Linked DNA regions of Drosophila melanogaster. The protein of the gene in region 3 interacts with the protein of the main gene of each other region in a pairwise test. Each region holds a gene or a part of one and is shown on either strand. Other genes may lie near its edges. The genes, in order: Cnep1r2, bond and Xport-A.

Region 1 (3,755 bases), on a different chromosome or scaffold from region 3:
TATTGAATTTTAGTTCAATTTCTTCTGTAAAATAGATTTGAACTCGTTCAAAACCGAACATTTTAGAAAACCAAAACATTTATGTTCTTTGTTCAATATTGCTCTTTATTAAAAGTTAAAGGCGGTTTAAGATCGATGAAGTTGCCGTCACGCCTTGCTCCAAATGGAGATGTCTAGCCGCAGCAGGCGACGTCATCGTGCTTGTGCTGAGCCTGAACGTCCTCGGCGAAGTGAACGCTGCGGACCACCGGGTGGTGGTGATGGTCATCGCCAACCATGGGGGCCTCGTTGTTCAGTTGGGGAAGGGCTAGAATGTATGGGAAGCAGTTAAGTAGAGCTGTTGTCGAGCGTAACCCATTGCAATCCTTGCCAGAGGCCATGAAGAAGGCGAGGCCCAGGATGAGAGTGCACACGAGTAGGAACTTCATGGTAAAGCTGGTTTGTTGTACAGATGGCTTGCTTGCTTCTGATGCCTTGGAACTGCACAGACTCCCTATTTATACAGAATGCGGCTCGATAAAAACCGCTCCAAATATACAAAAACACTTGTCGTTGCACAATTTGCGAGCAACTCGTTAGTTATAGATGAATTGATATTGAAATGTCGCTTGGTGTATTTGGCAGCGATGGGTAACGCCATTAACGAAACACATAAAGCTTAACAATTGATTTCTTTTCTTTTTGTTTTTTTGTACAAAGGAGCTTCTATAATTAAACAAAATGTGTAGGGGAGAAATAAGAGGTACTTTAAAAATACGCTTACAAAGCGAGGGTGTCCGAATCAACATGTAGGAAAAAAGAAAAGGGTAAGGGAACTAGCAATTAACTAAATAAACGTCCTGGAAGCTGGCCGGTGCTCATGTACTGTTGTTGTTACTTTGCCGCGGCTTGAGTATCAGCTTCCCCGTGTCGTCACAGCTCATATTAAAGTCTCCCAGTACCATTCGCGTTCTCGATGTAATTATTTGCGGAGCTATGACTAGTTTCTGTATGCCCAGGATGAACAGGACGACTGCGGAGAGAAATGATAAGGTTTACAAAATCAGTAAGTCAGTTTCAAACCAAAAAAATTAGATTAGATTAAATGGAAGTGTTTGTTAGCTGAAAATTCTTAATCAGTTGGACTATCAATATTGATATATACAAATCGAATTTGATAAAGCGAAGAGCTTTGACAAGATTAAAGGCAACCTAATGTTGCTAAAATTTGGAGAATGTACTTATGTAGTTTGCATAGATGTGATAGATATAAGGAGTGTATTCTACTCAAAATAACAGTAGAAATACCTAAAAATTTGAAATTCTTGATTTTGATCCTTTCTTTTTACCGAGTAGCCTGAGATAACCTGATATATAGTATCGACTTGCTCTACGATATGATTATATGGATTTAAATAGCATGGTATGGCTTGGTATTAAAATTATTCTCCATACTAGGTAGAATATCCGAGGTTCAATGACCGCCGCTGTTGACTACAAAAAGTGACCTATGTACGGAGTACAGTAGTGGCTACACCGATTCTTACCCAATGTTAGGGTGGCGACTGTGAAGACGGGATGAATCCAGAGGGACTCCGTTAGCGGTACAACGGTGGTGCGCGGATCGCGTAGCCAGTACCAGGCGCTGATGGCGGTGCACATGGACATGGCGGAAAGGACAACTGCAAGAAGCTCTATGGTTATTACGGATTGTAATGCTCCCTGGTGTTCTCATTATACGGATGCAACTTACTGCGCCAGCGGAACGTCGAGGGACGGTACGATGAAACCACTTCGGTGAGGCGCCGCTCGAAGGCCTTGAGATCTGCAGAGGAGCGAGGAAAACAAACCCAGTTATGGTTGGTAAACATAGTCAGTGGCTTGCGCGTTTTCCGGCTCTCTTTTGCCGGCGAGTTACATACCTTCGCAGGCTGACGGTTCCATTGCAGCTATTTCCTCAAAGCTCGTGGCCGTCTTAATGCGATTAAATTTGTCCAGTTTAAATATTATTGTATTTATTATTATTATTTGATGAGGTTCTCATAGCTTTCTTTTCCTCTTTTTATGTTTTTGATGACATTCCACGTTTGAGAGCACTGATAACGGGCTGCGTTTCTCAACACTACACAAAGCAGGGTCGTACCAAAGAGGGGCTCTTTGTTTATTTCCTACTTTCAGTACAAAATGGTTGTATAGCTAATTTAAAGTGAGTATTATATTTATGTATTATTTATATTATATTTATATTATTTTAATACAAAAATATCATAGTTTTTATTATAATATAAATATAATTAATGGCTTACCGGACAAATTAAGTACCCACTAAATGGTCTTCTACATACACCCATGTGTCTAAGTTATTCTTCCTGCAGTACAACGGTCACACTGCGGCAGCTGTTGCAAAAAAAGGCGGATAATATTTGTAGCAAAATCAGTGTTTTTTATACGTAAAATCAACAAATATAAAGTCCCTCGAAGGCATTATGAATAGCACTAAAGTGCCGCCCGAGTGGAAGAGGCGTGTCAAGTCGGAGTACATCAAAATCAGGCAGCAGAAGCGCTACAAACGTGCCGACGAGATCAAGGAGGCGTGGATAAGAAACTGGTAAGCGCGGGAGAGATGGTGGATGTCTGGGAATCGAAAATCTATGTACACATATCCTCCAGGGACGAGCACAACCACAATGTACAGGATCTGTACTGCGAGTCGAAGGTTTGGCAGGCTAAACCCTACGATCCGCCGCATGTGGACTGTGTGAAGCGGGCGGAGGTGACTAGCTACAATGGCATTCCCAGCGGTCCGCAAAAGGTGCCCATTTGCGTGATCAACGCGGTCACTCCCATACCCACCATGTACACGTGGGCACCAACACAGCAGAACTTCATGGTGGAGGATGAGACGGTGCTGCACAATATACCCTATATGGGCGACGAGGTCCTCGATAAGGATGGCAAGTTCATAGAGGAACTGATCAAAAACTACGATGGCAAGGTTCACGGCGACAAGGATCCCTCGTTCATGGACGATGCCATCTTCGTAGAACTGGTGCACGCCCTTATGCGCTCCTACAGCAAGGAACTGGAGGAAGCCGCTCCGGGTACAGCGACTGCCATTAAAACAGAGACGTTGGCGAAATCAAAACAGGGCGAAGATGATGGGGTAGTTGATGTTGACGCAGATGGTGAATCTCCCATGAAGCTTGAGAAAACCGACAGCAAAGGGGATCTGACTGAAGTTGAGAAGAAGGAAACTGAAGAACCGCTGGAGACTGAAGATGCGGATGTTAAGCCCGATGTGGAAGAAGTCAAGGACAAGCTGCCCTTCCCTGCGCCCATTATTTTTCAGGCCATCAGCGCTAACTTTCCAGACAAGGGCACCGCGCAAGAGCTCAAAGAAAAGTATGTAATTTGATAACCAGGTTAGTAAATATCCCTTCTTACGGCTTTTTCTTTTTGCTAGGTACATTGAGCTTACGGAGCACCAGGATCCGGAGCGCCCACAGGAGTGCACACCCAACATTGACGGCATCAAGGCCGAGAGCGTTTCCCGGGAAAGGACTATGCACTCCTTTCACACGCTCTTCTGTCGTCGTTGCTTCAAATACGACTGCTTCCTGCACCGTAAGTTAAACGATGGGAACTGCTGCCAGCTGGGTTACCTAATGACTTTACGTTTTGTTTTTGCTTTTCTTTTCTTGTTTGGAAACAATATTATCTTACCAAAAAACACAAATCTGTACCATTTCTTAAACCCCCAAAAAAAAAAACGAAAT
Region 2 (3,755 bases), 2.6 Mb from region 3:
ATGATATACCCTATTGACCAATCCAGGCCAATATCATCCATCAGCTCTCGGCGTTCTGACCAGCTACGTTAGAAACTCGGCCAAGGAGCAGATTTCGCACAGACCCCGACTAGCGGTATTAATCGACTGAATTAATACATTTAGTAGCGCTGAAGTTCAGGGTCATAATCACAAAAGAGAAGCGCCGATAATGCGAGCTGTTTCTGTTTGAATGACGAGCGCGCGACAAAAAATGCTAAACGGCCAATGTGCTTCAAATGGAAATGGAAATGCCAAAGACCCGGAAGGGTGGCGACCAACACAGCTGCAGTGCATCCAACTCGGCAAACATTTGCATATTTGACCGGGCACTTAGCACGTGGGTGGAGTACATGGATCACCATGGGTCACACAAATCACCTGGGAATCTGGGAGACTGGTGAGAGTAAGTGCGTGAAATTGACCCATTCATTGGACGGACAATCGCTTCCCATCGATCTGGAAATGTGTTAACTGCGCCCGTAAACCCTATTTGCGTAGTTAAATTAAGTGCCAGGTTATGGAGTTGGGGCGTGTCATCCCCCACATTGGCACATATATATATATATATATAAGCACTTATAACTATGCTGCCAATTGAGTTCGTCTCAATGACGTGACGGCGATAATAAATCAATTGTCTAGCGGTTTATTTAAAGCCAATTTTGTAGCTGGAAATTGGCACACAGAAAGAAAAGTGGTGTCAGGAACTTATATATAAAATGTTATTATTTTGGTTATTTTTAAAGGGTCTAATGGAACTATTTTTATTATAAAAATGTAGATAATTTTTTAAGCATTTCTTTATAGAGATGTTTTTAGAAAAATGTTTTTTTAAATGGGCACACAGAAAGAAAAGTGGTGTCAGGAACTTACATATATAAAATATTATCCATATCTATTTTGTTAATTTTAAAGGGTCTAATGGAACTATTTTTATTACAAAAATGTAGTTAATTTTTTAAGCATTTCTTTATAGAGATGTTTTTTAGAAATAACACAGTATCAAACGAAAGTGGCGAGGATGACGCAAAATCCAATTAACCTGAGTTATCACTGAAAGGTCAAAGCACATAATAAAAATATAAACTCCATCGTGCGGTCTAAAAATCGCGACACATTATATATAAATATAAAGTGCATGTATATATTTTTTTAGAAATTCATTCCAAACACTTTCAGTGGCATACAAACAGATTTTCATAAAATTGTTAACAATTTATGATGATGAACTAGAGTCTCTCATAGTATGTTCTATGTATGTTCGTTAAATTCTAAACATATACCATAATATATATATGTATATGTATACATGTATACTAATATTGAAGTATATTTCGTTTTTACTGTGTACTTTTTCGCTTCCCTCTTTGCTTTCGTTTTCTTTTTGCCGCTCTTTTTGCGATAGGATCTGCATGTTTTTTTGGCCAACCGGGAAAGGGTTAATAAACTTGTTCAAAATAAACCAAGAAAAAGCATGGCTTATCTGCTGCTGTTAGCAGTTTTGCTTTCTTTTCTCGCCACAGACATTCATTTTAATGGCTTCAAACTTGACCTTAGCACCAGAAAGCACCAAAAAATCAGTAAAGATAAAACCAAAACTAAATGTTTCTAAAGCAAAAATAAAATAAAAAAAAAAAAAAAGAAACCGCCGCGCAACTTAAATTGGCCATTAACGCAACTTCGACTTGCATCGTATCGAACCCGGCCGAGTGACGCAAAAATCAACTAAAAAAAAAGGTTAAGTATACGCCGTGCGGGCCGTGCCGCGACTGCGCTGCCAGCGTCGCCAGCGACGGCGGCGTCAAATGTTGGCCGGCCTGCGAAGCGCGTTCATTTTGTTTATTTATACAGCCGAGCGGGTAGAACTCCATATTAGTGTCTTCTTGGCGTTTGCCGCAGTCGAGTCCGAGTCCGAGTCCGAATCCGAATTCGAGTTTCGAGTCCGTAAACTGTAACTGAATCTTCAGGCTACGGTCGTAGTGCGATTGTGTGTGTGTGCGCGCCAGTGCGTGTGTGTGTTAGCCAAGTTCCAAGCAGGGAATCGAGTCAGCCGAAAAACCAACAGGTACGGAAGTGATATGAATTCATTTTTTGGGGCAACCTAAAGGCGTGATGAAAGTGTTGCATAAATTGGAGAGCAGTTCTTGGGCAAAAAAAAAAAAAAAACAAAAAAAAAACTGAGAGCTCGATTGGCAGTGGCTGGTCTAAGCCTGGCTAACTTTGCTGCCACCACCGCCATTGGTCCGTCTGATATTTCTCGTCGACCTTAACCCAATGCATCGTACATAGATTAAATGCTGAAAACTCGCTTGAGGAGCTGCAATTTTGCCAGTCAGCCAAGGCCAAGACTCTGGCTGCAGCATTGAGGCGGCCAAATCTAAACGATTTGAACTTGTAATCGATTGCGATTCAATTTGCAGCTGCACTAGCCAAATGGCCTTCAATAGCACCAAGCAAATGGCCGCCTGACACTATGGCCAAACTGAACACTCCCCCTCACGAAGATGACCACATTTCATGGTTAGGCAAACAGATTAGAAGTCGCTGTTCCCACGAAGAGACCACGGCCCATATCCGTTACAGTTTCTAACGACAACAACACAGACAGACGCAGAGGGTTTCGTTTGGGCCAGGAAAAAAATCCAATTAACGCCGCAAATATTTACAGAGTAATTAAAGGTTGTCAGTCGGCCCAAAAAGTCACCAGCAACAAACTCTGGCTTAAGACGCACAGGGGAAAAAGGTTTTTAAGTCATCTTTCGCGTTTCCTAAATAATATTAATATATTTTATTTTAACGAAAATTGAACTAAACAGTTTTGTTGATAGCCAAACAGATTTTTTGAACTATTTATATATACTTTCATATATGTCTCAAAAAGCAATTAGCTAGGGAATTTGCTAAGCTTAGTTTTAATCGCATTTTAAAACATTTTCTTACCGTGTGGGTTATAGTTATGGATGTATCTATGTGGCGTTTCTGCGGTTTGCCAACTGCTGGCTGACTCGACGCGTTTTTGTGCCTCCTCTGTAAATGCCTCGGCTGGCAAAAAAAAAAAAATTAATTTACAGCGCTAAGCAAGCATGAAACCATAAAACATGTGCACTTGACACAGGCAAAACTAAATGATTAACCTGTTGCACTCTGGAGCCACGTCGGGAAAATAACAATGTGGAAAAAAAAATTAAACAATTTTCAGGGTGCTCGACCCGTTTACATACCCTACCCGATCTACTCAGTACTCATGATTCTATGGATCCATTCGATTGCATCGCAACACCTACCACATTTCCAAACTTCAATGGGCTAATGTATTCGGGAATTTCACATGGCTAATTGTTGTCATTCGGCGAACACTCAAGTGCGTGTGAAAATCGTGCTGTCTGTAATCTATAGAAAAACATCCGCCCCATTGGACTGCAATTTACACAGCATATATGTAGCTATATCATTTTGAGGAGTTCTGCAACAGAAAGGAAAATAATAAAAAAATATTTAAACCAAGACTAGTTTACTATCATAAATTGCATGTACTTGGGATTTTCCAAACACAAATCATATTTTTTTTTTCTGGTGTACACACGTGGCGACATAACACACGAAATACCTGAGCTTCTAGGCGCAAAGTTGCAAAAAAAAAGAAACATGCAAAACTTGCTGATTTAAACTGGTGGCACATTAACAACGTTTAAATCGCAGCAGCAGATACAGATACATTTACATATAGACATATG
Region 3 (3,672 bases):
AGTGTATGTTAGAATGTGGATCTCTTATGAAATTGGTAATACCTAGCTCTTAATCACATACTGACCTCCTTAAATCAAATGATACTTAAGATATCTTCAGCTTTGTGGTATCTTCAAAACTCTACACTTTGTGCCACAAAACGAATACCTGAACACAAGCGATTTGTAGACAGCACTTATTATAAACCAAATGGCATAACTTCCAAGTCAAATACCTAACTACTTTATATCTCCATATAACTATTTTTCACGAGATGCTTCAGATGCAAACTAGCAATGACCAGATCTGGATTGAATAGAGCTTACTTACAGACCAAATCGATATATATTCCATGATATTTATAGAGATTAGTATGTTTATAAAGTTTTGTGAATAGGTTAGTAAGTGAGCTAATGCTGGAGACACACGAATATATTCTGCAAACATTTAAATAAAAAAGCTGAAAACCACAAGTTGGATAAATATTTCTATTGTTGTTCATAATGGTGGGATACAATGTAGAATTCGAATGTAGAGAGCAAGACAATTAAGTATGCAATACGGTTAGTAAGATATTTTATTCTACGAAACTCATATAAAACACACTAAGTATAATTGATACCATATATAATTAATTATAGGATGGGCTATCTTATGTTGCTCGTAACTAGGCAAACATCGAATGGTGGTAGAGTGCCGGTAATCTCCAAGAATCGTCGAAGGATGTGGCAATAGGTGTTTCCCATGGGCGGAGATTCAGTTCCTTCCGCCGGAATTCTAGCCACCTCGTCCGGAGTGTCCAGCTCCCTAACATAATCCATAAAGTTGTCCACATTGATGGGTGTCTCTGCCCTCGTCTTTGCTGGTTCCGTCTGCAACTTTCGCTGGAACTCACTTCTGTAGTAGTCGTTGATCATGGACATCATCCCCTTGGAATACCAGTAGATGATGCCAATCAAGAATAGGCCCTGCATGAATGGACCGACCATATTGTATGCTTCCACTTGATTTACTTATTTGTTCGATAGATCCTTTGGTTTCTACTGCTGATGCTCCTCGCGGAAGCTTTCAAGCCATTGATTAACCATGTAGAATTGCTCCTTGATGTGCGGCCAGGCCATGGTGACAATTAGCATTATGGTATTGGCGAAGACAAAGAGTTTCATCATTTCAAATGCTATTGGAAAGGGGTAATATTTATTAGTTAAATGAACTATATATTTTTAAGGAGCGAAAATTACAGACCCTCCGGAGTGCGAAGATAGTCGCCGAAGCCGGAATTTAGATCCTTGTCATCCTTCTCGTCCACCTTCTGCTCATGCTTATGCTTATCCTTCTCGTCTCGGCTCTTGCCCTTACCACCACCCTCGACTTTATCCTTGCCAGAGTGTCCTTTACCGTGCTTGTTCCTGCCGTATCCCGTGGATGAATTGGCAAAGGCCGATTTCTTCGGCTTCATTGCATCCAGATAGCAGCAGTTGGTCGGTCAGCCTGCACAGCACTGCATTTGATTGGAGTTGGTCCTGGAAGTGCTCTCCGCCTGGTGCTTCCTCGCCAACTGCTGCTCCGCAAATGACACAAACTTTGTGGTGCCAATTGGCGTGGCGCCGCTTCTGGCAATTTTATGGTTTCCATTTTATTGATTTGCGATTTCTGCTTGTCGCTCTGGCTGGGTGGGAATGGTGGGACAGGTGACCAAATAGAAATATGTTGTTAGTGGAGCAATGCGCTTGGATATTTAGCCGGGCATGTGTACTTATTATACCAGTCACACGAAATGTGTGTCAACTTGGTGGATGAAGGTGGTCGCCGGTAGGGTTGGTGTTTGTGGGTTTACATTGGTCCCAAATGGCTCTGGTTCCTGAAAGCTTATTTAAATATCATGCAAACCAGTTTTAATTTATTTAATGCCTTATTCTGCCAAATAGTTTATAATAGTTTTGCATTGATCTAATGTAAGCTTTACATTTTAAACAAACTACGTGTAGATGCCGAACTTTTGATTTATTCCCAAAAGTATGCAACCCAATATACATATTCGATTCGCGATAAGCGAATGTTTAATGAGCTAAATTCGAATACTGTTCGCGAATACTTGACACACACTACAACTAACTTATCAAATACGCCCAGACATATATTAAGTATACGTTATTACGTGAACGCAATAAGTTGCTGTCCCTTGTTTACCACAGCTCCGACCGGTGGCTGCTCCTTGTCCCGCGTGACCAGGCAACATGTGCCAAGGCCGCCCAGGATGACCAGCAGACAGAAGGCGGACAGGGAGAGGGCGGGGCTCACCTGCCTGAGCAGCGTGAGAAAAGAGGCGGAGAGCTGCCACACCCGCGCCCACGTGACGGCGGAGAAGGAGAGGCAACTACGCTGCTCCATTGGCACCAGTTCGCCCAGGCAGGCCAAAATCATGGACTGGGCGCAGGCTACGGCCGCCTGGGGAAGTGATGCCATTAGCAAGCCCAGCGTCAGTCCATACACCTCGGGCATATCCTCCTCGGCCAGGAACCAACAGATGCTACCGATGCAACCGACCACGATGGCAAATCCCCCCGCCCACTGCCACTTGCGTTCACTCAGGTTGAAGGTCAGGTGTAGGGCCAGGAAGCAGCCAAGCATCTCGGCCAGGCCCATGGCCAGTGTGTTGGACACCAGGTGCTCCCTGCCAAAGGACCGCACATGGAGCAGCAGCCCAGTGTTGACCACCATGAAGGTGGCAAGTGCCATGTGCACGGCCACCAAGTGGAAAGTACTCCTACGCTGGCCCATCCACAAGTGCATCCAATGCACGGCGGGCATTGGCTCCAGCATCCTTTCTCTCAGCTCCTCCAACTGCTGGGGTAACTCCTTGGACACTTTGTGCATTCTACCATTGGTACGGGCTGCTTCCAGCAGGATACCCACCGTTCGCTCGATGGCCAGTTGAGCTTCCTTGGTGTGTTGCAGCTGCCAGCGCGGTGAGTCCGGAGTCCAGGGTAGCAGAAAGACAATCACCAGCAAGGAAAGAGTTACGCCCAAGTATATGTGCTGCCAGCTGGGAGCATTGGAGGCCAAGCCAGGGAGCAGAATCAAGCCCAGAGCCCAGAAGCAGTCGTAAAGTATGAGGGTTCCTACGCGATATTTTCCCGCTGTTATGTCACCAACTGAAAAGTAGGTTATTTAATATTAAAGTATTCTTAAATATTCAATTTTACTTACATATATACTGCCCCGAGGTGATCATAAAACAGCACGAAACAGCAGCCAGGCATCGGAGTCCACAGTGCAGACTGAAGTCTTTGACAAGACCCATCAGTAGGCTGCACATGAGCAGGCACCAGATGCCAGTTCTATAAATCTGTCGGGGACTCAGGACCCGCATCAACTTGGTGGCCGCCACGCCACCGATTAGGAGGCCAAAGAGGTGCCAGTACTGAGACCAGGCCACAAAGAAGTCGCACAGACACACCAAATCGAACTCCATGGTCAGGGAGTGGAAACCCGTGGTGTAGAGGAACTTTCGACACTGGCGCATGGCGTAGGCGGACTCTCCGTAGTTAACCATCACATAGCAGTGGTCCAGCGAGACGGTGGAGTTGACATCCGGCCCGAAAGCCGTCGTATCACACTTGTACTCCTCCTCGGGGTACAGATCCGGCGCTGTGAACAGGATGCAGGCCATGAACCAGGCGGCTGGAATC

What was found.
Region 1: the proteins of Xport-A (region 3) and Cnep1r2 interact in a two-hybrid assay, tested with the Drosophila melanogaster proteins (one large-scale study listed by BioGRID).
Region 2: the proteins of Xport-A (region 3) and bond interact in a two-hybrid assay, tested with the Drosophila melanogaster proteins (one large-scale study listed by BioGRID).

Annotation. Positions count from the first base shown.
Region 1 is NT_037436.4:10,636,472-10,640,226, reverse strand, and holds Cnep1r2 (CTD nuclear envelope phosphatase 1 regulatory subunit 2), read right to left. Parts: upstream 2,082-3,755; 5' UTR 1,924-2,081; coding exon 1,902-1,923; intron 1,805-1,901; coding exon 1,733-1,804; intron 1,674-1,732; coding exon 1,527-1,673; intron 1,013-1,526; coding exon 858-1,012; 3' UTR 549-857; downstream 1-548. Other genes in the region: CG18628 (uncharacterized protein), read right to left, coding at 174-307, 371-428; E(z) (enhancer of zeste), read left to right, coding at 2,466-2,587, 2,650-3,381, 3,443-3,603. UniProt on the Drosophila melanogaster protein: May form with the serine/threonine protein phosphatase l(1)G0269 an active complex dephosphorylating and activating lipin-like phosphatases.
Region 2 is NT_033777.3:22,548,793-22,552,547, forward strand, and holds the start of bond (james bond), read left to right. Parts: upstream 1-1,887; 5' UTR 1,888-2,086; intron 2,087-2,961; exon of another isoform or gene 2,962-3,063; intron 3,064-3,305; exon of another isoform or gene 3,306-3,484; intron 3,485-3,755.
Region 3 is NT_033777.3:19,913,856-19,917,527, forward strand, and holds Xport-A (exit protein of rhodopsin and TRP A), read right to left. Parts: upstream 1,558-3,672; 5' UTR 1,440-1,557; coding exon 1,226-1,439; exon of another isoform or gene 1,222-1,225; intron 1,158-1,221; coding exon 1,021-1,157; 3' UTR 970-1,020; coding exon of another isoform or gene 628-969; 3' UTR 541-627; downstream 1-540. Other genes in the region: Xport-B (exit protein of rhodopsin and TRP B), read right to left, coding at 628-969; CG4465 (uncharacterized protein), read right to left, coding at 2,135-3,135, 3,191-3,672.